4 linked regions of the Ovis aries genome follow. The protein of the gene in region 1 interacts with the protein of each later gene in a biochemical or structural test. Links are inferred from orthologs where the notes say so. Each region holds a gene or a part of one and is shown on either strand. Other genes may lie near its edges.

Evidence for each region.
Region 2: the proteins of BIRC3 (region 1) and UBE2V1 form a complex in vitro, tested with the Homo sapiens proteins (2 studies listed by BioGRID). The link is inferred for Ovis aries from reciprocal best matches to the Homo sapiens genes BIRC3 and UBE2V1.
Region 3: the proteins of BIRC3 (region 1) and RIPK2 form a complex in vitro, tested with the Homo sapiens proteins (2 studies listed by BioGRID, with this or other methods). The link is inferred for Ovis aries from reciprocal best matches to the Homo sapiens genes BIRC3 and RIPK2.
Region 4: of the proteins of BIRC3 (region 1) and RIPK1, one has a biochemical effect on the other in vitro, tested with the Homo sapiens proteins (5 studies listed by BioGRID, with this or other methods). The link is inferred for Ovis aries from reciprocal best matches to the Homo sapiens genes BIRC3 and RIPK1.

The regions. Positions count from the first base shown.
Region 1 is NC_056068.1:6,089,744-6,098,776, reverse strand, and holds the start of BIRC3 (baculoviral IAP repeat-containing protein 3), read left to right. Parts: upstream 1-3,030; 5' UTR 3,031-3,422; intron 3,423-6,177; 5' UTR 6,178-8,519; coding exon 8,520-9,033. UniProt on the Homo sapiens protein: Multi-functional protein which regulates not only caspases and apoptosis, but also modulates inflammatory signaling and immunity, mitogenic kinase signaling and cell proliferation, as well as cell invasion and metastasis.
Region 2 is NC_056066.1:78,131,956-78,139,453, forward strand, and holds part of UBE2V1 (ubiquitin-conjugating enzyme E2 variant 1), read right to left. Parts: intron 2,448-7,498; coding exon 2,322-2,447; intron 1,122-2,321; coding exon 975-1,121; 3' UTR 1-974. UniProt on the Homo sapiens protein: Has no ubiquitin ligase activity on its own. The UBE2V1-UBE2N heterodimer catalyzes the synthesis of non-canonical poly-ubiquitin chains that are linked through Lys-63.
Region 3 is NC_056062.1:86,817,809-86,826,049, reverse strand, and holds part of RIPK2 (receptor-interacting serine/threonine-protein kinase 2), read left to right. Parts: intron 1-3,376; coding exon 3,377-3,532; intron 3,533-8,241.
Region 4 is NC_056073.1:49,669,073-49,675,969, reverse strand, and holds the end of RIPK1 (receptor-interacting serine/threonine-protein kinase 1), read left to right. Parts: intron 1-135; coding exon 136-288; intron 289-2,358; coding exon 2,359-2,645; 3' UTR 2,646-3,294; downstream 3,295-6,897. Other genes in the region: BPHL (valacyclovir hydrolase), read left to right, coding at 6,022-6,128. UniProt on the Homo sapiens protein: Serine-threonine kinase which is a key regulator of TNF-mediated apoptosis, necroptosis and inflammatory pathways.

The sequences.
Region 1 (9,033 bases):
CTGAATGGTCAGAAGTAATTGGTGTTAATGTTGAGAAAAATGAATGACTTTAATATTTGGGTATCAGTTCTGTTCAGTCGCTCAGTTGTGTCCAACTCTTTGCAACCCCATGGACTGCAGCACACCAGGCTTCCCTGTCCATCACCAACTCCCAGAGCTTGCTCAAACTCATGTCGATCAAGTTGGTGATACCATATATCTGGGTATAGTTATCAGATAAAATACAGATCACCCAGCTAAATTTTAATTCTAGCTAATCAATGATTAATATATTGCATGGTACATAATTATACTAAAAAACTATTTGTTGTTTGTCTCAAATTTAAATGTAACTAGGCTTCCTGTATTGCTAACTCTGGCAGTCCTATTTGGGTAAAATACCTGTGGTTTCCAAGTCACAGAGTTCAACAAAATGAGTTGTCTATTGAAACCTAATTGCATTTTAGGATTAAATATTACTAAATAATTTTGGAGCTATAAAACTGGTACTAAAAATTTTGGAAAAAATTGAAGTAACATTTTTTGGAGGCCAGTCTATTTATGTAGAAAAGATTTTTCAACACATAAACTTTGGGAATTAAAAAAAGGAAGAGAATCTATGCTGAACTCTATAATGTTCTATGGAAATTAAAAAAAGGAAGAGAATCTATGCTGAACTCTATAATATTCTACTAATAAGTAATATTCATGAACACACACTTGAATAAATTGTTCAAATATAAGCTGCAGCCTCCATTAAGATTGCATTTGTAAAAGAATCATTTTTTATGAGTATATTGTTATATCAGCATATGTTTACATTGCTTTGACCAACTGACTTTGAATATAAGTACTGAAAGTAATATAAATTATAATGTAATCAAGGAGAAAATTTTGAGTTACAGCCTATGATCACAGGAAAAAAGTTAAATTTCAATTTATACATGTTTGTTTCAGAAATTTGTGCCAGAGGGATCATAAAGATGTCCATTTTAAACACAAAAATTCTGTGGGGAAGTAGAATGTTCAAGGACAAAAAGCAATGATAGAGTATTTCCAATTATTAAAGATGAACAGATATATTAATAATGAAGGTTATCAAATGGTATTTGTAGTCCACTGAATATATCTGAAAGACTGTTGATCAATCTTATTCTAAGACATCAATGTCTAGATTTAAATCCATTTAGTTGGTCCCATCACTTCATGCGAAATAGACAGGGAAACAGTAGAAACAGTGTCAGACTTTATTTTTTTGGGCTCCAAAATCACTGCAGATGGTGACTGCAGCCATGAAATTAAAAGATGCTTACTCCTTGGAAGAAAAGTTATGAGCAACCTAGATAGCATATTCAAAAGCAGACACATTACTTTGCCGACTAAGGTCCGTCTAGTCAAGGCTATGGTTTTTCCTGTGGTCATGTATGGATGTGAGAGTTGGACTGTGAAGAAGGCTGAGTGCCGAAGAATTGATGCTTTTGAACTGTGGTGTTGGAGCAGACTCTTGAGAGTCCCTTGGACTGCAAGGAGATCCAACCAGTCCATTCTGAAGGAGATCAACCCTGGGATTTCTTTGGAAGGAATGATGCTAAAGCTGAAACTCCAGTATGGTCACCTCATGCGAAGAGTTGACTCATTGGAAAAGACTCTGATGTTGGGAGGGATTGGGGGCAGGAGGAGAGGGACGACAGAGGATGAGATGGCTGGATGGCATCACGGACTCGATGGACATGAGTCTGAATGAACTCCGGGAGATGGTGATGGACAGGGAAGCCTGGGGTGCTGCGATTCATGGGGTCGCAGAGTCAGACACGACTGAGTGACTGAACTTAACTGAACTGAGTAGTTCCTTAGCAACTACAACTTTTGTGTTTTAATGTTAAGTTAAAAATGTGCAGGGAAATATAGTTTTCCAAAACTATTTTGGTGGGTACATGATTATAAATATATATAAAGATCACAAAATTTTTTTCCACCATCTCACAGGAGAGTTGAAAATGGCTTATAAAATTTTCAACTAAGCAGGCTCAAAATGAATCGAAATCTCCACATAAGTAAACTGAATCTTTTTTATATAGTTCCAGCTGGAAATCTGCTATGGACAGCCAAATCAGCTAACACAGAAGATACCCCAGCTCATCCTGACTGTTCTGCATCCCTGTTTCCACAGGAGAGTGAAGTACTAAGTAACATTACAGTTCTGCCTTTAGTGCTTGGTATCTTTTTCTTGATTTACTGGAAGGCAGGAAAATCAGGTGAGCTTTCCCAATCTGTTATCCTGGCATGCACTGTCTTTAGATAAATGTGCTTAAATTGACTCCTTAGGCAGGAAATGTTGAGGAAAATATGTGTAGTGAGACTTGACTTCAGATTTCTATGAGGCTATCATGGCAGACATCTCCCCTGTGAAACTGAAGCCTACAAAGAGGAATTTGTTTTACAGCCAACTCCACCCTAGTTATAAATATAACCAATCAACCAGAAAAAAACAATTTTTTTCCCCACTAAACTAATATGGTAACCTTTTTTTTCAGACTAAAAATAAATTGAAAAGGAGAATCTTGTGATTTTTTTTTTTAACAAAACCCCTACATTTCCACTTATGCTTTACAATTAGAACAAAAAGTAAAAATAAATCAGAAAGCTTGCACAAAGTTTAATATTTTATTACGTGGGGAGATGCACCTTTTCCAGTCAGGCTGACCAATGATCATCTTGCCCTCTCACAGATTATGAAGATTTCCTCTGACCCACGAACAATGAAGTAAAGGTATTTCAGTAAATGCCACGTCGATCCGCCCCGGTTAAGAAACAGTCACGCTTTCTGGGTCATGGAAATCCCCGAGTGGGTCTGCCAGGCCACTGATTAAGGGGAAGTGTGTGTGGTTATTACCGCTGGAGTTCCCCTAAGACTTCAGAGGAAAGCACCAGCTCACAAGCAAACCGCTGGGAGGAGTGCGGGACGCGGGGAGCGAGGAGTGGGTGGGGAAGGGGCGGGGCGGGGTGGGGGTGGGGAAGACGGTTAAAAGGCCGCGGGAGCCTCCGGCCCGCCCCGAACGGCGGGGGCGACGGGTGGCGCCCGCCAGGTCTCGGCAGGCATATTTCTGGCGCGCACGGCGCCGGGCCGCAGGCCGGCGACCAGGACTGCGGTGAGTGAGCGTGCGCGTGCGCGCGACCCCCGGGGACGCTGCGCGGGAGGGGGCCGCCTCTGTGGCTCTTCCCGGGTCTCGCGAGCCGGCGCGGGAACATAGTGCGAGCCGGGCGGCCCTGACTGGCGCGGCCGCGCTCCTTAGGCCGGTCTCCTCAGGCGGGTCCCCGCCTCCGCCTCCGCCGCCCAGACTTGCCCTCCAGCTCTCGGGGCCGCCGGCTCCGGCCCTGCTTCGCCGACACTCGCTTTCCTTCCGCCTTCCTGCCAGGTGTGCAGTTCCTGTTTTCCTTTTTCCGTGAGTCAGTGGACGGGGGGGGGTGGGGGTTTGACAGTTGGTTTAATGGATGGCCGAAAGGTATCACTGCAGGAGGACATGGCGACCCACTCCCGAGTTCTCAGCTGGAGAATCCCTTGGACAGAGGAGCCTGGCGGGCCGCAGCCCATGGGGTCGCACAGAGCCGACTGGACTGAGCGACTAAGCCCAAGAGGTATCACTGGCCTCAGCCGGTGCCAGATGGCTTGGCCATAGTAAGGACTTAGAGTCTTTCATGGAGAAGGCAGTGGCACCCCACTCCAGTACGCTTGTCTGGAAAATCCCATGGATGGAGGAGCCTGGTAGGCTGCAGTCCATGGGATCGCGAAGAGTCGGACGCGACCGAGCGACTCCCTTTCACTTTTCACTTTCATGCATTGGAGAAGGAAATGGCAACCCACTCCAGTGTTCTTGCCTGGGGAGCCCCAGGGACGGGGGAGCCTGGTGGGCTGCCGTCTATGGGGTCGCACAGAGTCGGACACGACTGAAGTGACTTAGCAGCAGCAGAGTCTTTCGTTAATGAACAGATGGAAGAGTGTTCCCAAGTGGTGGCGGAAAGAGATTTTTGGTGTTTTCCTGATAATAGGCCTGGAAATCCTGTAGTGCTCTTAATCTAGTTATTAAAGTGCTGGAGATATTTACCTGATGCTAAAGGAAATGGCACCCTGCTCCAGTATTCTTGCCTGGAGAATCCTGTGGACAGAGGAGCCTGGTGGGCTGCTGTCCATGGGGTCACACAGAGTCGGACACGACTGAAGCGGCTTAGCAAACTAAGAGTAATATTAACTTTGTCATTATTTTTTGCCAACATTAGGTGTTTCTAAGACCTAGTCTACTCAAAGGCTCTCTCAAAAGACTTCATATGTGTCTTTCAGGTTTTTCACAGTCCTAGGGAGCAGTTGCCATATTTATCTCCACTGACAATGAGAAAACTCTGGGCTCAGGGAGGTTTACTTGTCCAACGTCACACCTCTGGTACGGGGACACTGATGAGTATTGGAAACCCAAGATGTCTGACTCCAAAGCCTGTACTAAACCATCACTTAGCAGACTTTGTAGTCATTAATGTAAAATTGATGTCCTTAATACCATGCAAATGAGGGTGCTGCGGTCCTTGAGGGGCTCAGTCAAGTTTGCTGACATTGACTTCTCAACAGAAACTCTTAGTGTCTTCATTGTTTGCCGGATGGGATGGATGTGTGGCTAGGAGGATTGATACAGAGCTGCTGCACAGTTCTGTGAAGGAGACTGCAGACTAGGGGGTGATGATTTAGTTGCTAAGTCCTGTCCAACTCTTGCGACCCCATGGACTGTAACCTGGCAGGGTCTTCTATCCATGGGATTCTCCAGGCAAGAATACTGGAATGGGTTGCCATTTCTTTCTCCAGGGGATCTTCCTGACCCAGGAATGGAACCCGGGTCTCCTGCATTGCAAGCTGATTCTTTACAGACTGAGCTAGAGACAAAAGGCACACTTAACGTCCAGTATCAGAGACTTGGATGTGCTAAGTGTCCAAGAGGAAGACATATCCAATATCCCTGGCATCAGGGAGGTTGCCCACTAGAAGTGAAGAGTGAGAAGAGGCATGATTGGGGATGAGCCAATCTGAGAAGTAACCACTAGAAAGGAAAGAGGAATTCCGAGAGAGAAGCCAAGGAACTAGAACATTTGTTAGAGGAAGTGGGCCCCAGTGGCAGGTGTGAAAAATTCCACTGGTTTTGGGAAAGAAGCCATTGGTGTTACTCATATTGAGAGTGGTTTTCCCCAGGCATAGAAACCACTACCAAAAAAGGAAGAAGGGGGAGGGATAAATTAGGAAGATAGGATTGACATATACACACTACTCTCTCTGTATATATAAAATCAACAAGGGCCTCCTGTATAGCACAGGAAACTACTCATTTGTAATAAACTATAAAGGAAAAGAATCTCTGTATCAGAGTGCCAAATGGGAGAGCATGAACCCTCCCAAAAGGGTGCAGCCATGGCTTAACACTAGCTTATTGTTGCCATCCAGAAATATATGCCTGGCACAGTGAGATCTTTGGATATTTTTATGAGAGCATTGGGATCTAGAATGTCATGGGAAATCTTTTACTTTTTTTTTTGGCCCCTCCACGTAACATGGAGGATCTTAATTCCCTGTCCAGGGACTGAACCCTTGCCCCATTTAGTGGAAGTGTGGAGTCTTGACCACTGGGGAAGTCTGGAAATCTCTTACTTACAAAAAGTGTTGGTAATTAACTAAAACATTGAAAAAATACAGTGATATTTTTCCAGGAAAAATCTTACTTGGAAGGCTGGTGGAATTCAAATGAGGCATACAGATTAATTAATAGCACTGTTTCAGTGTTAATTTCCTGGTTTCTGTAGTTGTACTGTGGTTTTATAAGATGCTAATTTGGAGGAAGTTGAGTGCAGGATATGTGAAAACTCTTTATGTTTACGAATTTTCTCTCTTTATAAGTTAATTTCAAAGTAAAAAGTTAATGAAATGCTGGAGTCTAATTCTGTGCAAGCCAGCCATAATACCTCTGCTGGCCACCAATCTGAGGCCTCTGGTTTTCGTCTGGGATTTTTTGGCCTCTACAGTGGCTAGCACACCAACTTGTATATGGTAGACATTCAGTAAATACTATTACTGTGCTTTGGAAAAAATGTTTACAAAGTGATCATGGTGTAACATCTATGAATTATTTGACTTTTAAAACTCTTTTTTTTTTTTTTTTTAAACAGGTTTTACAAAAGAGAGGAACTGTTCTTCTAGATTTTTTTTTTCAGTTTTTTCTATAAATCAAAACATCTGAAAATGGAGGCCTAAAACTCTTAAAAGGGACTTAGTCTGATCTGAGGGAGGTAGTTTTGTGCATGAATAAACAAAGTAGATAACTGGACTTTTTATATACAAAGAATGTTAATTTAAAAAATATAATCTAGTTATAAGAGGTATAATTACACAGTAATAATAGGTTTGATTCTGAATTTGACTTGTGGATATAAAGAAATGATTGTAGTCGAGACAAATTGTTGAAGTACTTTTTTTCAGAGTTGGCCAGGCAGTTTCGTACTGGCTGCTGTATAGAATAGAAAAACTTGTACCTGTGTTTGGTAAAGATTTAAAAATGAATGACAGTTATCTAGAACAAAGAATTAATATTCAGCCTTCTGCTAAGTTAGAGAAATATGCATATAAAACCTTTGGCATGTTAAAAGATTTCTTCAGTGACAAAGAAATGTCAAAACCAAAACTTTTTGATAGGTACAACAAAATAAGAGTAAGTATGAAAGATAAACGTGATGATTGGTAAATAAATTAACCATTTCTAAGCCTACTGATATTTTGAAAGTCAAAAATTTAGTTTGTTCAAATGGGTTGTTATCTCTGAGAATAATTAGAATGAGAGTGATGGGTGGATGGTTACTTTTGGTAAATGAACAAACTTCAGAAAGAAACACAGAGATAGTGGTAACACCACACAGAGACAGTAATAACACCAAGAGTTTTATATTTTAAAATAACACAATATTACACATTTTATAACAATGTGTAAAATTATTGACTAATGAAAGGAATACTGAAGTTAAACAGAATAATTCACCTTTGAGGGAAATAATCACTGCTATTTCTGATGCCACCTGGAAAGAAAGCATTGAAGTCTGCAGTAAAAAGCCTCAATATATATGAGACCCAGGAAACATGCTTGCAAATCACTTCTAGAAGAACCATGATGACTTGTTTACTGGTTATTACTGATACTACTGATGTAGTCCTGCCTACTGGTAGCTAGTTTTAATTGAGAAATTCTGAATTTTGAGGTCTCTGTTGTTCAAAAGAAGTGGAGTGTGACAAAGTAAATTTATTATGTTTTGTCAAGATAAATTCTGGTTCAGGGTATGCTATCTGTGAAATAGTTTCTGACCAAAACCAAAATTTTTTAATCCATCTTTTTTTTGTTTGTTTGTTTAAAATTTATTATCCATCTTAGCTTGGAGACTCAGCACTCTGACTTTTGACTGTTTTTAAAAATAAGTTCATAATCAGGAGATTTGATGTTGGCTTTCAACAGCATGCAGCTGAGCCTAAGAGATCAAATGAGCAAATATACTCATCTCTGATAGTTTATTTGAAATGGAATGTTTAATTTGCTAAGATCTAGAGGCATCACTATGACTTAGCAGTCAGGTACCTATCTATGGAAGTAATTAAATCTTGAAACCAGGTCTTAAGATCTGTGAGCCAGTTCTGTTACTACTTAAGTTCTTCATCTGGAAGAAAATTTTGGATTGTTTTCTTCTCCCTATTAAAATGGTTGTAGGAAGAAAAATTAATTAATTTGAGCAAGATTTAGGATATACTATATTTCACTGAATATAAGATGTCATCATTTGTAAGGCATGCCATTATTTTATGTACCTCCTAGAAATAAAAATCCTGTTAATTAAAATGTGATATGCCATTGATTGTAAGATACCTCTCCATAATAGAGATATTGAAATATGCGCCTTAGAATCAGTGAAATATAATAATCCATTCTTAGGTAGGTTTTAAACTTTCTTTCCCTTGGCTCCAAAATTTCACAATTTAAAAAAAGAGTAAGTATAGTTTGAATATGTTTGTGTATATGGGACACTTATGCAGCATAGCTTTCTGCCAGAACAAACTATGTGAGACATTTTATCTTCAGGCTGACTTGAATGTCACTGAAGCATACTAGTGGAGAGGGTGACCTTCCTGTGGAGACACCTGCCACAAAATGGCATCTTGATGACCTAATGCATTGTACATTTTTATGAAGGCTTTAATTTTCATCACAAGGTACTGTGTAGCATCATGTTTACATTGTATATATCAAGAGTATGCAGAGGTGCAAGTTGTACATAATTGTCCCTTAAAGTGTATCAGTATAGGATTTAGAATCTTGCCATGCTGTAATCCTAAATTCATAGAAGAAAAAAAAAGAAAGATTTCCTGTTCTAAGTGTTCAGCCTGGTACTAAAATGAATAAAAATCAAAAGTCATGCACAAAACTACCTCCCCAGAGAAAGACTAGTCCCTTTTCCTCCCCATCCATTTCATTATGAACATAGTAGAAAATAGTGTATTCTTATCAAATTTGATGAAGAGTGCCAACATGTTTGAACTGAAGTATGACTTTTCATGTGAGCTCTACCGAATGTCAACATATTCAGCTTTCCCTGCCGGTGTTCCTGTCTCAGAAAGGAGTCTTGCTCGTGCTGGTTTTTATTACACTGGTGTGAATGACAAGGTCAAATGCTTCTGTTGTGGACTGATGCTGGATAACTGGAAACAAGGAGACAATCCTATTGAGAAGCATAAAAAGTTGTATCCTAGCTGTAGCTTTGTTCAGAATCTAAATTCAATTAACGTTTCAGGAGCCTCTTCTCAGCCTACTTTTCCTTCTTCATTAACAAATTCCACGCATTCACTACTTCCCAGTTTGGAAAACAGTGGCTACTTCAGTGGCTCTTATTCAAGCTTTCCATCAAATCTTTTAAACTCTGGACCAAATCAAGATTTTTCTGCCTTGAGGATAAGTTCCTACCCTTGTGCAATGAATACTGAAAAAGCCA
Region 2 (7,498 bases), on another chromosome or scaffold:
GGCAGGCCTGAGTAACCCTGGTGACTGTTCTTTTCACCTTATCGAAACCTGAGCTAAAGAAACGCATCAGCTGACGATGACAGCAGAGGGTGGCAAGGCTGAGAACCCAATATTCGTTTCCCAGGCTGGTGGAGAGTAAATTGTGGTTCCAAGACTAAATGAGGGGAGGTCAGAGACTCTTTCCAACCTTACCTGATGGCTTCCGGCCAAAGCAAGGAAGCGTCATGGGAAGTGTTGGGTGTTGGTGGTGCAGAAAGGGACTTGAGGAGGAGGAAGGAAAAAGCAGCACCCCTCGATTTAGGTGGGGGGAGAAGATACGGGGAAAGCCCTGAATTCCTCACCAAAGGCCAATTTCAGAGGGGAGCAGAGGGGTTACAATCTATGCCTCGGCCAAGGGCGGCAGTGGAGGGTGGGGGGGGGGGGGAGGAGGATTGATGGCTTGGAAGAGGGGCGTCACTTAAGACTTAGAGAGAGACCAGGGATGCGGACAGAGCAGCCCACACGCCAGCAGTGTCCCCCAGGCTGTGACCTGAAACCTTCACGCCTACTCTAACAAGCCACGCCTAGCTGGAGGGCTGTTGCAGGGAGTGGGGAGGGGGGAAGGCAGAGACCCCAGGCCGTGGAATCAGCAGCAAGGTGGCTGTGTGATGTGTCTTTTCACAGTTGAGTTAGACGTGCCCCACCGGTTAGGATGGGAATCAATTTAAATATCACTTTCTTGATCCCAGAAGTTCAACTATGTGGACAGTGGTTACACTTGACAGGATGATTTGTTATAGCACAACTTATATATTTCAAATGGACAAAAAATTAGTATCATTTACAGTATCTTAAGATAAACTGCCTTTGAATGGGAGCTTTCTTTCCAGTACTTTGAGGTCTACAAGACGAATCTAGAAAATTTACTACTGTGGAAAATGAAGACTGCTTAAATCGAATGGGGGCAGGGGAGGACCTGTGGTTTTTCTTTTTGATTAATTGCTGTAACACTGTCCTTCAGGCGGCTGAGGAAGTTTCATATTTTCTTTAGACATCATTAGGCGCCGAAGCTCTTGCAGGACAACTTTGATGCTATACGAATTCTGCCATTTTGCTAGCACTGATATGGCTCTTGGGTCCACCTATAGAAAGGCAAAGATAAAACAAATTACTGTCAGGCTCTCAAACAAAAGGAAAGCTGTGTGCTGGAGCTAAGCTACAGCAGAAAAGTGAGTGAGAAGCATTTTTCAGGTGGAACATGCTGGTCACCCAGCAGGACTGACACGCGGAATGCCCACGGGGTTCCCTCCCTCCCGCTGGTCTGCTTTGCCCTTGTTTGGGAACCCTCATGGCCTGGAAGGAGGGAATTAAGGGCAAGTAAAAGCCGCCTTTACAGATGAGGCACCAACGCCTGGTGAGGCTCAGCTGGCTGTGAAACGACGGCCCCGCCTGCTGGGCGAGCTGCGGCCACCGCCCAGGGCCTGTCCTCCCCACTCTGTGCCCAGGTGGCGGGCGATGCTCAGGGCCTGTGCTACCCACTCTGTGCCCAGGTGGCGAGCGATGCTCAGGGCCTCTCCTCCCCACTGTGCCCAGGTGGCAGGTGATGTTCAGGGCCTGTCCTGCCCACTCTGCACCCAGGTGGTGGCCACCGCTCAGGGCAGTAGGGAGAGTGAGGCAACAGCAGACCAGAGCCTGTCCGAGCCACCCCCCTCAAGTCAGTGCAGTGCCCCCCTGGAGAAACGCCTCCAAGCAGGAACTTCTCCTGGGTTTAGGACATCAGGTGGGCCTCAGAGGCTCGAGCGCCTTTGGCGCGCGGCACGGGGCCGTCGGCTGCCCCTGCTCTGCTTTTACAGCGTTTACTGTGGTGTCACCACCAGCACCTGCTTACGGCAGATGAGACTGGTCTCCATTCACGGCAGTGAAAACAGTGGCAAAAATAAGAAAGCAAGGCCATTACAAGGAGAAAGTATTATATGTCCATGGTGCAGAAATAAGGCCCGTGGGGAGAAGCGTGGCGTTGGGGCGGTCTTTTCCCTCTCTGCCTCCATTTCCTTGCCTCTACCTCTTGGGGGTGTAGCAGGAAGGCTGAAGGAGCGCTCCTCTCAAAGTGACCGGCACAGGCTGAGTGATAACAGCCCAGAGCCAACGCCATACAAGTTGTGCTGAAACACAACTGGGAAACAGGCCCTCCCTCCAAAACAGCACGTGTGTGTCCTGCGGTACATGTCATCATCCAGTAACCAAGGAACAAATGCAATCAGGCCCCAAGTGCCCCTGACATTCGAGCACAAAGAATCTGGGGGACCCCCAGGGGACAAGGAGGGGCAGCAGAAACAACTTACCACTCCATTAGAACTATTAACTCCATTCATATTAATTTTTGTTACAAATCTTACAAAGGGGGGTGCTTCTGGGTATTTAGGTCCACATTCTATTTTAAGGCTGTATATTCGGTTTTCATAAATTGTCTGGAAAAAAAATAGAAGGCATAGCCATGTCAGGCAATTACAAAGAATTAAAAAACTGCACAACTTCTGAAACCCCATTTATTCCCCATGCAGAGCTGGTGTGTCTGCTGCCACCATTCAGAGTCTACTCGCTGTTTGCTAAGTTAGTCGTAATCAGTCCCTGCACCAGCGCCTATGCATCCTGGCTTTGGGGGAATATAAAGAAGCCAGGAAATTTAAGCCAGTGTCACTGAAGTCTTAGGGTGGCATCATTAGGCCCAATCAGATGGACTTGGCTTTTCTGTTCATTTGTCTACACTCTGGAAAATGACGTGTAAGAGGCATCCTTCATTCTGGGAAGTCACACTGATGTCTACTCATGCTGGGATCATCAGCCAAGGCACTAGATACCATCATGTACAGAGTAAAGAACAAGCAACTCTAGAGGACTTTGAACTCAAGCACAAGATCAGGGTGGGCACAGACACAGGGTTGCCTTCCACTCCTCACCACCGGGGCCGCGCTCTGGGAAGGGATCTCAGCCACAGGCACTCCGTCCCTGCTGCCTTTAGGACCACCCGGCATCGAGGAGGTGTGTGGGGGGAGGGGGCCGAGGACGCCAGACCTGCCCAGGAGAAACGGTCCTTCTCCGAGCGCCAACCGAGCCTCCACTAAGAAACACCGAGTCCCGCCTCATGCCCGGGGATGGCTCCCTTGTCACTTCTGCCCGGTGAGCAGTGGAGTGCGCCGCCTTCTCCAGGCGGTTCCTTCTGCCTAAAGTGCTGAACCCCCACTCGGACCACCTCATAGCCTTCGAGACCCAGTTCAAGCAGCATGTTAATCAGAAGGCTGTGCACGGTTTTCTCACGTGAAGCTGCGTTATCATCATCTGCGTATCTGAAGACCACACCAAACCGCGGCTGACACCTCCCGGTCAGACTGGCCCCCTTTGCAGGGAGACCGGCCTCCTCCGGGGCCCTCACCCGCGCCCTGTGCCCTCTGCACCCCGTGCTGCACAAGAAACGGCCGTGTGAACAGTGACATCTAGCGGCCTTTGGGGGGAGCACATTAAGAAGGATGATTAAAAGGCTTGAAAACATTCCGTCTAAAATAGTGGCCTGTCCCTAGCTTAAAAACTGGAACATATATTTTAAGATCCAGAATGCATAATAGTCCCATACCACATCCACTTCACAGGGACCCCAAGCTGTAACAAAAGCTCAACTCAGGATTTCCCCCCACCTGCCTTCTTCCCTGGTAAGCAGGAGCACCATCCGGCAGTTAGAGCAAACTGGCAGCCAGCCATGACTCCCTTTTCCCTCACTCCTCATCCCAGGCATCAGAAGGGATGCACACTCACCCAACCTTCCTCTACTGTGCGCCTCCTCCAGATGACCCCAGGCCTCTGCCTTCTCTCGCGCCCCTAGCACCTGCTCCCCAGACAGCCCTGGAAACTGTGCCTGTGGCCTCACCCCTCCAGTGGCTTCCTGGAGACCCGAGAAAGGGGGGCCCGGTTCCTGGACTGGACCCCATGCGGCCCTGCCCTCCTCTCCGTTGCTTCTCCTTCCTCATCCCGCCCCTCCGGCCTCCTCGTCACACTCTTCAGACACACTGAGTCCTCTCCTTGGGGTGCTCATACCAGCTGCTGCTCTGAGCCTCGCAGCTCAGCTCCCATGCATCTTCCCCTCAGAGTTCTCGGGACCCCTCATTTGAAGACTGACGCCCAGTCACCCGCCAGACACCCCTCACTAATCTCGGAACAAGGCGGGCAGGGGCCTCAACCGAACTGGTACTCATCTGTTTATTGAATGAATGAACATTGCAACTTTTCTGTAAATCTGGAAGTAGTATACAATGAATGTTTGCTTATTTATCTATTTATATTGCAATACAGTTGACAGTATTAGTTCCTGGTATACAACAGTGACTCAGTATTTTTGCAGATGATACTCCATTTAAAGTTATTATAAACTATTGGCTACATCCCCTGTGCTAATCAATATACTCTTGTAGCTATTTATTTTCATTCATGGTAGTGTCTCTCTCAATCCCCCATCCCTCTTTGCCCCTCCTCCCTTCTCTCCCCCTACTGGTAACACCAGTCTGTTCTCTGTATCTGTCTATTTCTGTTCTACATTCATTTATTTTTTAGATTCCAGGTAAAAGTGGTAACATACAGTATTTGCCTCTAACTTATTTCACTAAGCATAACCCCCCCTGGGTCCATCCACATAGATGGAAATGGCAAAACTTCAATCTTTTAAAAGTGTTTTTAAGACATATGAGACATGAGAAAGTGAAAAAGGTACTGGCTGCAAAAATATGCAAAGCACAGCACAAAATCTCAATTAGCATAAAGAAGATGACGTCAGGAGCACTGGTCAACCACTGCTCAGCTCGGATGCTAGTTACATGGCAGGTGCGCTCAGCGTGCAAGGGGCACGTGCTGTCAGAATAAAGGCTGGGCCTCTCAACGGGAGACGGGGTGCAGCCCGAGAGGACCCCCATGACAGAGGCCACGGACAGGCAGCAATGTACAGGAGGCGTGGGAGAAGACACGTCAAACCACTGCTCACGGTCAATCTGGGGATGATTAACCCCAGATTTCTGCTAGGGGATTTGAAAATCAGGGAAAAGTTTGGGAAAAAAGACACCACACTAGGTATTTTAACAAAGAATTTAATATAGGAAATCGGTTAAACCTATTACTGGACTGAAGAAAGTTTTGAAAGAGGAACCTGAACAAACACAGAGGTAATGACCGCAGGGAGCAGATACTACCTTTGTGTTAGTTTAGGATTATTGCCTTTTGCCCCCATGAAGGCTGGGGGACAAAGGAAGAAAGCTGTAGCTGATCAGATCCAGAGGCTCTGAGGAAGAGGGTTCCAGAGCTGAACCCAGGTCTCTGAGGAGGGGCTGCTGTGAGGCTGATGCTGGGGGTGCCCCCAAAAGTTGGAGGAACCCCCAAAAGCTGGAGGCCGGGACCCAGTGCTGAGGCCAGGATGAAGGGCAATCACCAGAGTGGCGCAGACAGAGCAGAGGCAAGCAGGAAGGAACAAGGCTTCCTCTCTGCCTCTCAGGCTCTCTGCTGCATCCTCCCCTGGCGCCCGACAGGAAGCCGGCTGACAGAGGAAACATGCAGCTCACAGATGCCAGCGCCAGGATCCAGAGCTGAGCAGGGACGGTGGGCTTGGAGCTCACTACCCAGCACCTGCCCGGCCCACTCCGGACCAGGCAAGACAGACTTCCTCTGCACAAAAACTCTGTTCCTGTCAGTCAGGGCATCTACACGAGCCACAGGCCCTCGGGCGGCAGCGCTAATTGTTCGTTTCTTGACTTCAATCACAGTGCCACCTGAATGCCGCGCAGCTGAAGGCAATCACAGTGCCACCTGAATACCGTGCAGCTGAAGACTTAAGTTGCTGAGCCGACTGCACAATCGCAATAAAAAATAAAAAGGCAAAAGGAGGCCCTCTTTCCTTCCCCTTTGCTTTCTGTTCCCATCAGGGTCACTCTGGCCCGAGGCCCCGTCTTGGCAGTGAGAGCTGTCTCTGGGCTAAGCCCCTGGCCTTTCGGGGCTCCTCCAACCAGCTCTGTGGGCCCCACAGGGACCAACAGCAGAGGGTGCCTGTCTTCCAAGTGATAGGTTTCAGTGGTCCTAGCGTCCCCTGACTCAGCCTTCCAGACCCAGGCCGTAGTTATTTTTTAGTGTTATCTGTGTTCCCCTGCTGCTGCTGCTAAGTCGCTTCAGTTGTGTCCGACCCTGTGCGACCCCACAGATGGCGGCCCACCAGGTTCCCCGTCCCTGGGATTCTCCAGGCAAGAACACTGGAGTGGGTTGCCATTTCCTTCTCCAATGCATGAAAGTGAAAAGTGAAAGTGAAGTCGCTCAGTGGTGTCCAACTCCTAGCGACCCCATGGACTGCAGCCCACCAGGCTCCTCCGCCCATGGATTTTCTAGGCAAGAATACTGGAGTGGGCTGCCATTGCCTTCTCCGTGTATTCCCCTAGTAGGCTTTTTTTCAGCCCAACACCTATTTGATCAACTTTCTATATTAAATTATCTCTGTTGAAATAATACTTAGCACGGTTTCTCTTTTCCTGACTGACACAAAGAATTAAATGGTACAAAGTGAACTGCTTAATCTGTATTGTCTGAAAACCTTTATGAGAATACACTCATGTACCAGACATGTAACCGAAAGCTTTTAAGAAGGAGACAGGTATACTGATATGGAAAGATGTCCACCGTCTGTTAAGGTAAAAAAAAAAAAAAAGCTGCAAAACATTAAGCACAGCAAGGTCTCATTTTTATTAAAATGGTTATGTATTTAGGTTTGCGTACCCACAGTAAATGCCAGGAGAAACACACCACACGCCACGTGACCAGTGTTTATTCTGTGGAGTGCGTAATGAAGCGGGGAATGGATCACTTCACACACTCCTGTAATTCTGTTTGTTCCTAAGTGTGCACAGAATACTTTTAGATAAGTATGTGTATAAACACACAGCTAGGCTCTAACCCAGCCATAAAAGCATCATCATGGAGAACTCCAGAGGTGTGACAGTGCTGTTCAGCCAGGGCGACCCCCGTCCCTGTCCCGCCCCCGAAGTGGCGGGAAGCAGGCTGCACCTGGAGGCCTTTACAACTGCTGCAGCCCCGGGGGTGCTGCTCAACACCTGCCTAGTGACAGGACAGCTCCAAAGCTAACAGCCACCCAGCCCAAGATGCCAGCAGTGCCAAGGCTGAGAAACTCTGCTCCAGAACCCGGCTGCCATTACCACCCCACGGCCAAAGCACAGATCCTCTATATGGAATGCTGTGGACAGACATGTTTGCCGAATTTTGCAAGGGCACTTGGACAGGAAGCTTTGCTTTTAGGTTTGGAAAATTTGCTTTACAAAAAGAAAAAATATATATACACATCTATTTTCAAATAGCTAACATACTCATATGATTAAAGCACACTCAAAGAGTACAAAAAGGTATTAGGAATAAGTCTCCCTGCCCGCAGCCCTAGCGAGTGATTCCTTTTGAAGAACACAACCACCGACATCAGCTTCTTCTATGT
Region 3 (8,241 bases), on another chromosome or scaffold:
TCAAGAAATGTTTTTAAATACCTGGGTCTGTTTTGTGAAGGTTGCTTTAGTTAAAACTGAGTAGTAACATAATCTGTAAAATCCAGTCACTGAACACTCCTAAATTCCAGTGCATCACAATGTTCTATAAGCACATGAGGGAGCATGGCTGCCCCTATCACCACTCATGGAGTGACTTCCTCTTTATTTTAGGATGCAGCACATTCTGTTTGTGACGGCACGATCTAAAACAAGGGCAGAGTAAAGTGACTAGTGTCAGTGCGTAAGATTTGTGTAACCAACACAGCAATTAAGATACAAAACACAATTTCCTTTTTTTGAATGAATGTAAGCATAGATCCTAATGTTTTCCTCCCATACCCCAGCACCCCCGTAGATACTCTGGTACCCAAATTTGCAGCCCAGTAGAAATTCTAGAGCCTCCTAAGGGGCATTGCTAATTTCTGGAAGGAATCATAAAATACAGGTTGAGCACTCATCTACCTTCTTCCCCAATGGTTGTCTACTTCTTCTGAGTATGTTCGTCTTCCTGGGAAGCTGTATTAATATTTAAGTTAGGAAAGCATTTAAGAAAATTCAGATGATTATTACTTGTAAGTACCAGGAAATAAAGGCATTACATTTGTAATGTTTCTATATTATACATGGAATGCCAAAGTAGGAAGTTAAGAAATAACCCAGAATAACAGGCAAGGTTGGCCTTGGAATACAAAATGGAGCAGGGCAAAGGCTAAGAGAGTTTTGTCAAAAGAACATGCTGGTCGTAGCAAACAGCCTTTTCCAACAACCCAAGAGACAACTCTACACATGGGCATCACCGGATGGTCAATATCAAAAAAAAGATTATGTTCTTTGTGGCCAAGGGTGGAGAAGCTCTATACAGTCAGCCAAACAAGACCTGGAGCTGACTGTGGCACAGATCACGAGCTCCTTATTGCAAGATTCAGACTTAAATTGAAGAAAGTAGGGAAAACCACTAGGCCATTCAGATATAACCTAAATCAAATCCATTATGTTTATACCGTGGAGGTGATAAACAGATTCAAGGGATTAGGTCTGGTAGACAGAGTGCCTGAAGAACTATAAACAGAGGTTCGTAACATTGTACAGGAGGCAATAACAAAGCCATCTCCAAAAGGAGATGCCGGAAGGCAAAGTGGTTGTCCAAGGAGGCTTTACAAATAGCTGAGGAAGAAGAGAAATGAAAGGCAAGGAAGAAAGGGAAAGATACACCCAACTGAATGTAGAGTTCCAGAGAATAGCAAGGAGAGATAAGAAGGCCTTCTTAAATGAACAATAGAATGGGAAAGACTAGAAATCTCTTCAAGAAAATTGGAGATGTCAAGGGAAACATTTCATGCAAGGACGGCACAATAAAGGACAGAAATGGCAAGGAGCTACCAGAAGCAGAAGAGATTAAGAAGAGGTGGCCAGAGTATACAGAACTACACAAAAAAGATATTAAAGACCTGGATAACCATGATGGTGTGGTCACTCACCTAGAGCCAGACTTGGAGTATGAAATCAAGTGGGCCTTAAGAAGCGTTACTGTGAACAAACCTAGTGGAGGTGATGGAATACCAGCTGAGCTATTTAGAATCCTAAAAGATGATGCTGTTAAAGTGCTGCACTCAATATATCAGCAAATTTGGAAAATGCATAGTGTCTGCAGGACTGGAAAACATCAGTTTTCATTCCAGTGTCAAAGACGGGCAATGCCAAAGAATGTTCAAACTACCATACAGTTGTGCTCATTTCACATGCTAGCAAGGATATGCTCAAAATCCTTCAAGGTTTTTGCAAACTGCTACGTTTTAGCAGTATGTGAACCAAGAGCTTATAAGTGTACAAGCTGTATTTAGTAAAGGAAGAAGAACCAGAGATCAAATTACCAACATTCATTGGATCATGCAGAAAGCAAGGGAATTCCAGAAAAACATCTCTGTTTCATTGACTATGCTAAAGCCTTTCAATGTGTGGATCACAACAAACTGGAAAATTCTTAAAGAGGATGGGAGTCATCAGACCACCTTACCTGTTTCCTGAGAAACCTGTATGTGGGCCAAGAGGCAATATTTGGAACCAATCATGGAAAAACTGACTGGTTCCAAATTGGGAAAGGAGTACAACAACAAAGCTGTATAGTGTCACCCTGCTTATTTAACTTCTATGCAGAGTACATCATGTGAAGTGCTGAGCTGGATGAAGCACAAGCTGGAATCAAGATTGCTGGGAGAAAAATCAACAACCTCAGACGTGTGGATGATATCACCCTAATGGCAGAAAGTGAAGAGGAACTAAAGAGCCTCTTGATGAGAGTTGAAAAGGTGAGTGAAAAAGCTAGCTTGGAACTCAGTATTGTAAAAACTAAGATCATGGCATCTGGTCCAATCACTTCATAGCAAATACAAGGGAAAAAAGTAAAAGCAGTGATGGATTTTATTTTCTTGGACTCCAAAACTCACTGTGGACTGTAACTGCAACCATGAAATTGAAAGACACTTACTCCTTGAAAGGAAGGCTATGACAAACTTACCGTATTAAAAGGCAGAGACATCACTTTGCTACAAAGGTCCGTGTAATCAAAGCTATGGTTTTTCCAGTAGTCACATAGGGATGTGAGAGTTGGGCTATAAGAACGGTGGGCGCCGAAGAATTGATGCTTTCCAACTGTGGTGCTGGAGAAGACTCTTGAGAGTCCCTCAGACAGCAAGAAGATCAATTCAGTAAATCCTAAAAGAAATCAACCCTGAGTACTCATTGGAAGGACCAGTGCTGAAGCTGAAGCTCAAATACTTTGACCATCTGATGGGAAGAGCCAACTCATAGGCAAAGACCCTGATGCCGGGAAAGATTGAAGGCAAAAGAAGGGGGTGGCAGAAGATGAGATGATTAGATAGTATCAACAACTCAGTGGCCATGAATTTGAACGCCAACTCCAGGAGATAATAGAAAACAGAGGCAACTGGCATGCTGCAGTCCATGGGCTCACAAGTAGTGGGACATGACTTAGCAACTGAACAACAACCTGGAATGAGAAGACATGTCGAGTATAAATATATGTGTCTGGGTTTTACAGATAAAAATAAGCTATCTCAACTGGAGAGAGACCCGATACCATGTAGGACATTGCCAGTATATACTAAAAGGAAATATTAGTACTGTAAAGTCATTATTTTCTCTATAAGGAAAATAAGATCCAAGGATATTAAAGAATGTCAAATAGATACTATATAATAAATTAAGTATATTTTGCCCTATAACTTAGTTATACTAGATATTTAGTTTATACTATTCCTCATGGAATATTTCATTTTCAAAGTGGAAATAAATTTGGCCATTGATTTTGGTTTTATTTATTTTCATATATATGAAGAAAATCGAATATCCTGAGGTTCCTTGGCCATTGAGATTTCGTATTCTGCATGAGATTGCTCTAGGTGTAAACTACCTGCACAATATGAATCCTCCTCTACTTCACCATGACCTGAAGACTCAAAACATCTTACTGGACAATGAATTTCATGTTAAGGTAATTACTGTTTTTCAAAAAAGCTTATCTGCATCCTTGTGTTTAATAGTTTTAAAGACTTTTAGTTACTTTTTGTACCTTGCCAATTTAATATCTCTGCCTTTTCTATGGCCCCTAATTCAGTGCCACTTCTTCCTGCTGCAATGGGTTAGTTATTCCTAGACTACGGATATTCATAAAACTACGGTTCAGATACAGAGTCATTATATTCTTAATTTAAATTGTTAAGTATACCTTTATTTGCTTTTTATTTTGAAATTATTAGAGATTCTTAGGTGGTTGCAAAGTAAAGAAGTCTCATGTACCCTTAACCCAGTTTCTGCCAGTGGTTACATCACATATAATTATAGTACCATTTCAAAGCCAGGAATTTGACATTGGTACAGTACACATGTGTAGTTTGTAGTTCTGTTTCACTTTATGTGGTGTAAATTTCTGTGACTATTACAGCAGTCAAGATATAGCACTAGTCTATCACAACAAAGATACCACTCACACTATCCCTTTATAGGCATGTTCACCTTCCCTCCATCATCCCTAACCGCTGTCACCCAGTAATCTGCTTTTCTTTTCTATAATTTTGTTGTTTTGACAATGGAATCATACAGGGTATGATATTTTGAGATCAGCTTTGTTTATTTAGCGTAAGGCCTTTGAGATCCATTGGAGTCTTTGCTTGTGTTGAGTTGTTTTCTTGTTCATTGGTGAATAATATTCCATGGTGTGGGTGTACCAGAGTTGTTTAACCATTCACTTATTGAGAGAGATTTGGTATTTTTAGCCTTTGGCAGTTAAAATAAAGCTCCATTGAATAGTCCTATACAACTTTTTGAACAAACATAAGTTTTTATTCCTCTGAGATAAATGCCCAAGAGTTTTAACTGCATGGTCATATGGTAAAGTATGTTTAGGTTTTTAAGTAGCTGCCTATTTTCTGCAGTGGCTGCACCATTATACATTTCACCAGCAAGGTATGAAAGACACAGCTTTTCTGCACCCTCACCAGCATTTGGTTTTATCACAGTTTTTATTCTGGCATTCTAACCATTACAGTGCTCAAATCAGAGCTACGCAACATGGTGCTAAAAACCTCCCTTCAGGTCAAGTTCAGGCCTTTTATTAATTAGAACTTTTGGAGAATAAGCATTCATTTTGTTTGGCATACTCCTAAAAGAACTGTTAGCCCATTTTTCTCCTTTTTTTTCATACAAGTGTTACAAAAGTCCTTCTTTGACTGCTTTCCTAAGTGTCCTTGTCACCATGTCCAACTTTATACTGCTTACCACACAACAGAGCAAGTAAATCAACAGATGAGGTGTTGGGGCAAGGGATAGCTACCTTATTTGGAAAGCCAGTAGATCAAGAAAATGGTGGATTAGTGTCCCAAAGAACCACCACACCCAAGCTAGAACAGGCTTTTGCTTTTATACTAAAATGCGAGAGGGTGTGGATGGTGGTGGCAAGTTTCTTGGGACCTTTTGTGTTTGCCTCTCTCCTATGGGTCAGGTCATGATGTTCATACAGACCGTCAACAAATACTATTTTCTGTTCTGCACCGTGGAGGTATTTGCTAGTATTCTAACTAAACCTGAAATATATGTAAAATGAACTGAGACTTGTACTATATAAATTTTTCAACTTCCTTGGACCTTATTTCCTTCATCTCAGTCCAGAAACCATTCCTGATAGAGAAGACCCAAGCAAAGTAATAGGTGATGACGATCCCTAATTTCTCTTTTTCATTGATGAGTAGGGTATCCATGGTATTTATTTGACATGAATAGAATTTAAAATAGTTTGGCTTTGTGTGTTTTTTTTTAATTTTTGTTACTTTTAGCACATACAAAACTGTGATCTTTCTAATACAGTTCTTATAAATTAGTGACACTCTTTTATATGTATCCTGTGTGTCTCTACTTTTTGTTTTATAAATGTCCCTTAAAAGTAAGAGTTTCAGTGACTCATGAATAATTAGGTTATCCTATCTACCTGTCTTCTTGAAAGGGCCATTTAAATGAAATACAAAAATTCTCTTGAAGTACTTGATGAGATTAAATGGAACCTCACACCTTGTTAGTTTTTTGGTTTTTTTTTTTTAAGTAAATTTTCTCACTATAATGATAATCAGAAACATATTAATAGTATCTAAAATAAAAATCTTTACCACTAGTTAAGATCAATCAAGACTCTTCTACTTTAAAAAGAACATGTTCAACTTGTTGGTCTGCTGGTCAGCATCTATTAGTACACCTTAAATGCAAATGAACCCATGACAGGCTTGTGTGAAGGAAGCATTTATATGCACCATGTCCGGTTTCTCTCCTGTTGTCAGTCCTGTGTGGAAACCAGAATGCTTGGAGGTTCTTCCTCATAGCTTCTTACTGATGATAACTTCATAGTTTTAAAGAGACAGACAGTATTATGTAAATGAAAATAACTATTCTGGTAGGGTGGTAAGATTAGTGATGATTTTTATGAGCAAAGTGTTTTAATTTCCTCTGATTTAAAAAATTTTTTTTAATTGAAGTATAGTTGATTTACAGTATTATATTTTAGTTATACAGCAAAGTGATTCAATTTTATATATTTTTCAGATTATTTGCCTTTATAGGTTATTATAAGATACTGAATATAGTTTTCTGTGCTATGTGATAAATTCTTGTTGTGTTATCATCTGTTTTGAACTAAAAAGATCCTTTACCTTTAAAATGTATGTTAAGATCTTGTGTAGAAATGAAAAGCTCCTATTCTCTGTCTTCATTGTTGAATGACAAATATTTCAGGATCCTCAAGAAACCATAGAACTTGTATCCCTCTCATATTCTTCACTTTTTCTCTTCTTTGGAAGATCCAGATTTAATGAATCATGTCTTTTGTATATGATGTTTGTGATGGAGAAGGGGAAGAAATGTAGTTCCATGTGAAAACCAAACTAAATTGACTGATAAAGGGAATTCTGATTAATTCTTCTAGATAAGGTTTCAAAACACAAATGTGAAGTAAAAGGAGCACATAAACAAACTAAGAATGCATTTTCTGCGCGCTCTATTCGCAGCAGTGCTTAGCCCAGTAGTCTGCAGTTTATGGTTCAGGTATAAGAGCCTATTGCTGTTCACTCACTAAGTTGTGTTGGACTCTCTGCGACCCCATGGACTGCAGCACGCCAGGCTCCTCTGTCCTCCACTAACTGCCAGAGTTTGCTCAAATTCATGGCCATTGAGTAGGCGATGCTGTCTAATTTCCTTCTCCTTTGGCCTTCAGTCTTTCCCAGCATCAGAGTCTTTTCCAGTGAGTCACCTCTTCCCATCAGGTGGTCCAAGTATTTAAGCTTCAGCTTCAGTATCAGTCTTTCCAGTGAATATTGAGGGTTGAGTTCTTTTAGGATTGATTGATTTGACTTCCTTGCAATCCAAGGGACTCTCAAGTGTCTTCTCCAGCACCACAATTTGAAAACATTAATTCTTTGGCACTCAGCCTTCTTTGCCTTCTCATAGTAATGTTTATTATCCTAGCCAGTGTTGTAACTGGAGCACTGTTTTTGCTTTTAGAGGATAAGTGAGAGGAATAAGAGTTTGTAGTAGCAATTAAGAGTAACTGGGATACAGTTGCCCAGAGTCTTAATACTACCTAAAAGTTTAGATTAAAGACCTTCAAACTGCATTCTGTGTTGTTGGTGTTGTATGAATAAGAGTAAGCTTTAGAGGTTTATTCCTGTGTATAAAACATTAATAATACTAACATGTGGTTCACCCATTATGTGTCAAATACGGTTCTGAGTGGGGCTTCCCTGGTAGCTCAGTGGTAAAGAATCTGCCTCTAATGCAGAAGACTTGGGTTCAATCCCTGGGTTGGGAAGATCCCCTGGAGAAGGAAATGGTAACCCACTGCAGTATTCTTGCTGGGAAGTCCCCTGGACAGAGGAGCCTGGCAGGGTGCAGTCCATGGGATTGTAAAAGAGTTGGACAACTTAGTGACTGAATAACATCTTGCACTGCCTTTAGAAATCAGTCCAGTTTAGCTCTTCATGTCGTGGCACCATTTTTTCTCTTGGTCTTTTCTAATTTTTTTTCTTAAGTTTACCCTTTCATTATGGTAATATATGAAAGATTTGTATAGTCCTCCATCCCTTTTTGGAGTGGGGCTATAATTTTTTAATCTCAAATACATCTAAACACTAAAGAAATTATTTCTTCTGTTAAAGCTTGTAAGTATTTTAAGAGTTAAACGATTGAAACACAAAAGGTATGGTGGATGGAGCTCATTCCACTCTGTCAGCTCCTAAATGGCACAGTGTAAGGTCTAAGTAATTTAAACTAAATGTCTTCAAAGCTTTCCTTATACTTTTTTGTTCATTAAATATTGTTTCTGTTCTTATATTTTTGTCTCCATTTTTAAAAATATTAGAACATTTTAGATAGCTACAAAATATTGTGTAGTATCTGCACAAAATTTTCAAGTGAAGTAAACTATAAAGGACATGTCAAAAGTACAGAATGTCTGTCGCTGACAATTCTTTAGGTACCACTTGGCATGGACATGAATATGTTATATTGCTAACTACACTATTGTCAACAGATATTCTTTTTGTGGTAAGCAAAAATCATATTATAATGAGTTATACTTTATGGAATTTTGCTTATTTCAAAATATAAAAGTACTATTTTAAGCACATATAAAGAAGAATATATACACAGTGATGGTCATATTAG
Region 4 (6,897 bases), on another chromosome or scaffold:
AAAGAAGAAAATTTCAAGTGGTGGCGTAGGATGAATTATTTAACTTAAGCAGTCCTGCCCCTTTACCAGGCTGTCCTTTTTTCTCTTCCTTGCAGTCTAGATATACTACTTATCTCTGTGTTTCTTTCTAATTAGATGAGTCTGTGAAATATACCATACACAACAGTTCTGGCATTCAGATCGGCGACAGCAATTACATGGAGATTGGTGGAATGAGTTCATCAGTACTCGACAGCATGTACATGAACTTGAAAGAAGAGCCGGCTTCTAAGTACCAAGCCATCTTTGGTAAGCTGCCCTTGAAGGGCTCATCCTACAGCAACCTTGAACTTTCTCACCTGATTATTTCTCTGATGACTCTCCCTGAAGAGGCCCTATTGCTCCTCATGTAATTTCCGTGGACGTGCTTTGTAACTTATTTATGTGTGCTGAGGCCATAATTAGAATATCTAATTCATGGGTTTGCTATGAAAGTGAAATTAGTCAACACAAACAAAGGGCTTATACACTGTCTGGCACATGGTAAGATAGAAAAGTGTTAAACACATCATCATCGTCAATATGGCCACCCGGACCCAGGAGCCCATCAGGTCCTCGTCAGAAGGATTCCGTAAAGGACAGAAGACTATGCCCTCAGCTGCACTTGCATAATAAAAATTAGAGGGCTTTCTCTTATGGGATTCCACTATACAGCCTCATAACATTAATCCCAAAACACAACCTGGGGGAAACAGTGCGATTTAAGAACCCAGCTTTCTAATCCACCCCAGGACTGGCATTCTCTTTTTTTAATCAAGGGCCTGAGAGCAAGCGTTTCTGGCTCCGCTGGCCCTGCCGTCTCTGTTGCAGCCGCTCAGCTGACACTGCCTCCATGTGGGCTTCCCTGGTCGCTCAGATGGTACAGAATCCTCCCACAGTGGGAGACGTGGGCTGGAGCCCTGGGGTGGGGAGATCCCCTGGACGACCACTCCAGTCTTCTTCCCTGGAGAATCCCCATGGACAGGGGAGCCTGGTGGGCTGCAGTCCTGGGGCCACAGAGTCGGATGCGACTGAGCAGAGCACGTGGCGCAGCTGACCCCCAGCACGCCAGCAGCCCCAGGCAGTAGGTGCACGGATGGGTGTGGCCACATTCTAATAGAACTTTGTGTGGCTGAGAGGTTAAAGCGTCTGCCTGCAATGCGGGAGACCTGGGTTTGATCCCTGGATCGGGAAGATCCCCTGGAGAAGGAGATGGCAACCCACTCCAATATTCTTGCCTGGAGAATCTCATGGGCGGAGGAGTCTGGACAGAGCCAGGCTACAGTCCACCGGGTCCCAAAGAGTCGGACATGACTGAGCGACTTCACTTTCACTTTCTTTCACTTTACAAAACGAGCAGCGGGCCACGTGTGGCTCACAGGCCATAGGTGGCCAAAGTGAAAGTGAAGTCGCTCAGTCGTGTGAGACTCTGCGACCCCATGGACTGTAGCCTACCAGGCTCCTCCGTCCATGGGATTTTCCAGGCAAGAATACTGGAGTGGTTGCCCCATCTAACCCTCTCAAAGCCAGTCTTTAATTCACTAGAGCAGAGGTTCCTAAGGTCTGGGCTGACAGGGTGCCTTTGAGAACCTGCTGGAGCCCAGGGCCCCTCTCCTGGTGAAGCATTGGCAGACTCTGGCCGGGAGGCTGACATCTGGTGATGGTCAGAGCTGCACTGTGGGAGCCGAGGAAAGATGGGCGTTCTGCCGGGGGGGACGAGGTGTTTCTATTATTCCGCTTACTGAACATCACGGAATATGGCTTGTTTGTGGTGATTTTATACTTCTCTTTGCTTCATTTTATTATTTTTACGAAGGCCTGAGAGGAAGGAACCAGTAGGGAGAGAGAGGTTACGGCTCTAGGAGAAAGGAGGACTGAGTGGGGCAGGGGAGGGATGAGCCCAGAAATGCCGCACCGGTGAAAAGACAGCGCAGCCAGAGTTCCCGCCGGTGGCCTCCGTGTCCGGGACCAAGTGAGAGGAACACGCACGGCTGGCCGACGGTTTCCTGAGTTGAGTGACCTTAACTCTGGCCAGATGGAAGCAGAACAAGGCCCAAAAGGAACAAGAATGGTGTTTTCCCCCTTGACGTCAGGAAGGTGTAAACAGGGGCTGTGGTCAGCTGGTCCGGAACAGCCTAGCGGCCAAGGGGGCAGCTCCCAGGAGGAAGCCGGTCCTCGCGTGGGCTGGTAGACAGGCGAGGAGCGTCCGGGGAGCCGCAGCCAGACCATGGGGGAGCTACCTCTTTTACTGACTCCTGGGACTCTGTACTTTATGCCGGTGTTTGAAGCCAGAGTGTTCACGTGGCCACAGCTCAATGCCTTCTCTTTTCTGTTCGGCAGATACTACTACTAGTCTGACTGACAAACACCTGGACCCGGTCAGGGAGAATCTGGGAAGACACTGGAAGAACTGCGCCCGTAAGCTGGGCTTCTCTGAATCTCAGATCGATGAAATCGACCACGACTACGAGCGAGATGGACTGAAAGAAAAGGTTTACCAGATGCTCCAAAAGTGGCTGATGCGGGAAGGCAGCAAGGGGGCCACCGTGGGGAAGCTGGCCTTTGCGCTGTACCTGTGCTCACGGATAGACCTGGTCAACTGCTTGATCCGCGTCAGCCAGAACTGAGCCCACAGGCGCTCCTGCGGCAGGGGCCGCCTTCCCCCCGGCGAAAGCCTGCTGCCTGCGGAGACTCGGACTTCTCTTCTCCCGGATACAGGGGGTGCTGCGTCTGTGTCAAAGTCACCTCCTACCTTTCACAGCTGGAGGATGGAAAAGGGAATCGCCAGCAAACCACCCACTGCGCCGGACGCAGGACCACCTATTTGTGGCCAAGGCCCAACCCAACAAGAAGCCTAATTGGGCTTCGAAAAGGAGAGAAGAGAGAGTTGAGAAAGATCATTTTTTTCTTTCATATGATCCCATAATCTTCATGCTATTCATTCTGGTTTCTGGGAGTTTTGATTGAGCAAGGAAGAAAAAGAAAAATTTGGAGTCTATAACCTAAATCAGCTTTCTAATTTTACACTGCCTTCTCCACATAAGCACCTGTTATAACCAAAGTGAAAAATAAAAGTTCTCATTCAGTCGGATAGCGGAAAACTGGAGGGGGAGATGGTCCCCAGCTGCAGGAGGGGGCGGGGTGATTCCTTTCCCAGATGCATCCCTTGTGACCACTGCTCTCTAAATTCCAAACAGGTTAACTAATCAGTGTCAGAGACAGCAGACAATATTTTAATGGACTAATTAAAATAAAATTTTGTACCTCAAATGGAAACCACTGAAATTATGTGTTTGTATAAACGAAACAGTGTGAGATTCTCCATGGTGACCCCCAGCTACTGGCAGGAGAGATCGGGGAGCTAGGGAGAAAAGAGCTTTCCTGACATTGCATTTTGACTTTCAAGATGAAACCCACGGGCCTGAGAGTAAGCACTGCAGTCTCGCACACCCAGCTCAGGGGCCTTTCCTTCAGCCCCCACGGTCTAACTACTGGACGAAGAGGGCCAAGTTTACATCTGAGGAGTTTCGATATTAGGCCCAAACGCCACAAAAACACTCGTCTTGGGCAGGAATCAACGAAGTGGGACGACACAGACTACAATACGAGAAACAAGGCAACCTGTTCTTGGCTCTGAGAAAGGTATGAAGACCCTGAGGTGGATACTCCTAAGTGAGACCCACTCCCAGACCGCAGACCCTGCTCAGCAGAGTCCCCACTTGTCGCTGTTGCGATAATTGCTGTGGGTCCAGACGATGAAGTTAAATCTTCAGCAACACGAAAAGGAGTTATTTCTCACAACACATTTTAAATAGTTTAAAAAGCTTTTCTAGTTACAGTAATCATGTAAATAGGTCTGTATACGGTCAAGGTGTTAGAAGCATCTGATTACAAAGACATCACTGAAGGACCAGTTCTATGGTATAATCCAGACGCAGGCCTCTGAAATCAAGCAGGCACAAGTTACACTCTGGCCGTGCACCTGGGGCCTGCTTCCTGACCTTTCCCGGCCTCAGTTGCCTCATCTATAAATAGGGTGCTAGGACATAAGGTAGGTGTGAGGATTAAAATAAGATGATGCATCTCATTTTAGGTGCCTGGCGCAAAAAAGTTATTTAAGATGTTTTTTGATGTAGACCATGTTTGAAGTCTTTATTGAATTTGTTACAATATTGCTTCTGTTTTTATGTTTTGGTGTAGAGGCATGTGGGATCCTATCTCTGCAATCACGGGTTGAACCCACACCCCTTTGCGTTGGAAGCCACAATCTTAACCACTGGACTACCAGGGAAGTCCCTAAAAATAGTATTTTTAGAATTAGTCTTTATTGGAGTCTAGTTGATTTATGCTTCATTAGTTTCAGGAGTACAGCAAAGTGACTGTTAAACATATATCCACTCTTTTTTATATTCTTTTATAGATTCTTTAGGTCATTATAGACTGTTGAGTTCCCTGTGTTATAAGTAGGTTTTTATTAGTTGACACCAGTAGCCTAAGACCTCAGCACTACCATTTTTGCTGACCAGTAGGATAACTGGTATTAAAATTGTACAATTATTTTTAACCCCTCATCATCTCTGACAAGAAATCCCAATCAACATTTCATAAAAAAAAATAAGGAAATGTTGACCCCACTTCAGATTCTGAAAGTCAAACAACAGTAGCTGGAACATTACATATTTCTCTTTCCTTCTGTGTAGGAAACTGATGTGACAGCTTTATGTTGAAAAGACATATATAGTATATAGTATAGTATTATAGTATATAATATATATATACTTTTATATAGTATTTAAATCAAACCTCCCTTTACTGCCAAGAAACTCCCACTGGTCAGGGAGGACACTGCTGGTAATACAACTTCTCATGGCTGTAACACCAGGAAGCACTGTGCATAGAGGATTGTTACAATGAAAGGGTCTCCAGGAGAAGTAATATAAGATGCAAGGAAGCTGCTGGAATCTCCAAATCAAGACAAGGCTAAACAGCAGCCACCGATGTGCGGTTGTTTTCTGTTAAGGGAGAGAGCAGCCACAATCAAAGGGTATTGTTTTTCATTTTCCCTGTGGAACCTTCAGCTGCAAATACTGTTTATACTCTCTGAAGACTGAACTGGTCGTAAGAAGCACACACACTCAACAGTGGTGAAATACACGTAAAATTTGCCATCTTAACCGTCTTTAAGTGTACAGCCCTAAACACATTCACACTGTTTCTGCCACGTTCCTGCAAAACTGAGGCTCTGCCCCCACTGGACACTAACCCTGCCTCCGGCCCAGCCCGACACCCACCTGCTTCCGAACACCTGGGCCGCACGGGCCTCACTGATCTGGACTCACACGCGGCTCCATTTACGACCAAGCCTGCGGTGCTCGCCGCTCCCCCGCCCCGGGGGCGGCCAGGGACCCCACGCGGACACAGCCCCCATCCTCCGCACCCGGCGCCCCCCTCTGCTCCCGCCACAGCGCCGAGAAGCGGGAGCCCCGGCCTGTCTGCGGGATTCATCGGAGGCTCCCTGCGGCTTAGCTCTCGAGACCCGGGCCCCCGCCCGCACCGCTCTCCAGCCGCCGCTGGCCCGCCCTGATCTCCGGGATCCCCGAGAGCAGGGGCCCTCACGGGTGTGGGCCGGTGTAAGAACGCACACAGCGAACCCCAGTCCCCTCCAGCTGTCAGGCTGGCGGCCCCGAGCCCACCCCTCCGCGAGGGCGAGACGCCGGCCCCCGTTAGGCTAGAGCTGACACTCAGGGGAGACGCTCTGTGCCGGTGCCCCGGGAACCGCGCACACAGGTGGGCGAGGGATCGCCTGGAAACCCCGCGCCCCAGCTCAGAGCCCAGACCGCCCCGCGCATGCGTGCTCGGGGCGGAAGGGGGCGAACTCGGGGCGGAAGGGGGCGAACTCGGGGCGGCCGATGGCCGGGCGCATGCGTGCTGGCGGCGGTGCGCGCTCACGGGCTCCGGGAGACGCGGCGCATGCGCCCTCCCCGGCCGTCATTTGCACCCACCATGGCGGCAACGCTGGGCGGTCGGGCCGCGCGGCGGCTGAGGCTCCTGCTCTCAGCGCTGAAGCCCGGGATCCAAGTCCCCCGGGCCGGACCCGCGGCCGCGTTCGGGTAATGGCGCCGCTCCCCTCCAGGGGCCCCCATAGCCTCGTCCGCGCGCTCGGGGCGGCGGGAAGGGGGCAGGGGCCAGGGGCCAGCGACCGGGCCGGGGCCGCGAGTGGGCCTTGCCCGTCAAGCCGTGACCCGGGCGCGGCCGCGGGGGCGCTGCGCTCGGCCTCGGTGGGGCGTCCGTGCGGACGGAGGCCAGGGAGGAGGCGCGCTTGAACCCCGGACCCTGGCTCCGGGGCCAGCCTGCGGTGTCCGCGCCGCGTCAGCCCTCGGAGCCGCGGGCTGGACCTCGAGCTGGGACGTGCGGGAGACCCACCCGGGGGACCGGGAGATGCGGGCTCCTGGGCCCGGCTCCCCGAGGGGTGCAGGCCGTGGAGACGCCCGAGAGTCTGCCTTTCTCTCCTCTTCCCACCCCCACACAGCTGAGGGAAGACAGCCCCTGGATGAACCTCTGACCCCCAGTCCCAGAGTGGGCGCCCCTGGTCCAAGTGATAGTGGCCTGTCATGGGGGCGCGCGCGGGGCGGTCGCTGCTCACTGCCGGCGGGTCAGTTCCGCTCCTGACGAGGAAGGTGTCTGCGCACAAGCTTGGCGGGTACCTGGCCTTCAGAGCTTCACTGTGCTTGATGGGGAAGCGTCCATTCGGAAGGCATAAGAAGAGCTCTGACCAGCTTTCCGCTTTCATACTGTGATTTATTGGGTCTTGAATTTAGGGTTTGATGTTGTTACCATTTTCGACCTACTAGATTTTCAGAACTGTTTTCATACAGATGG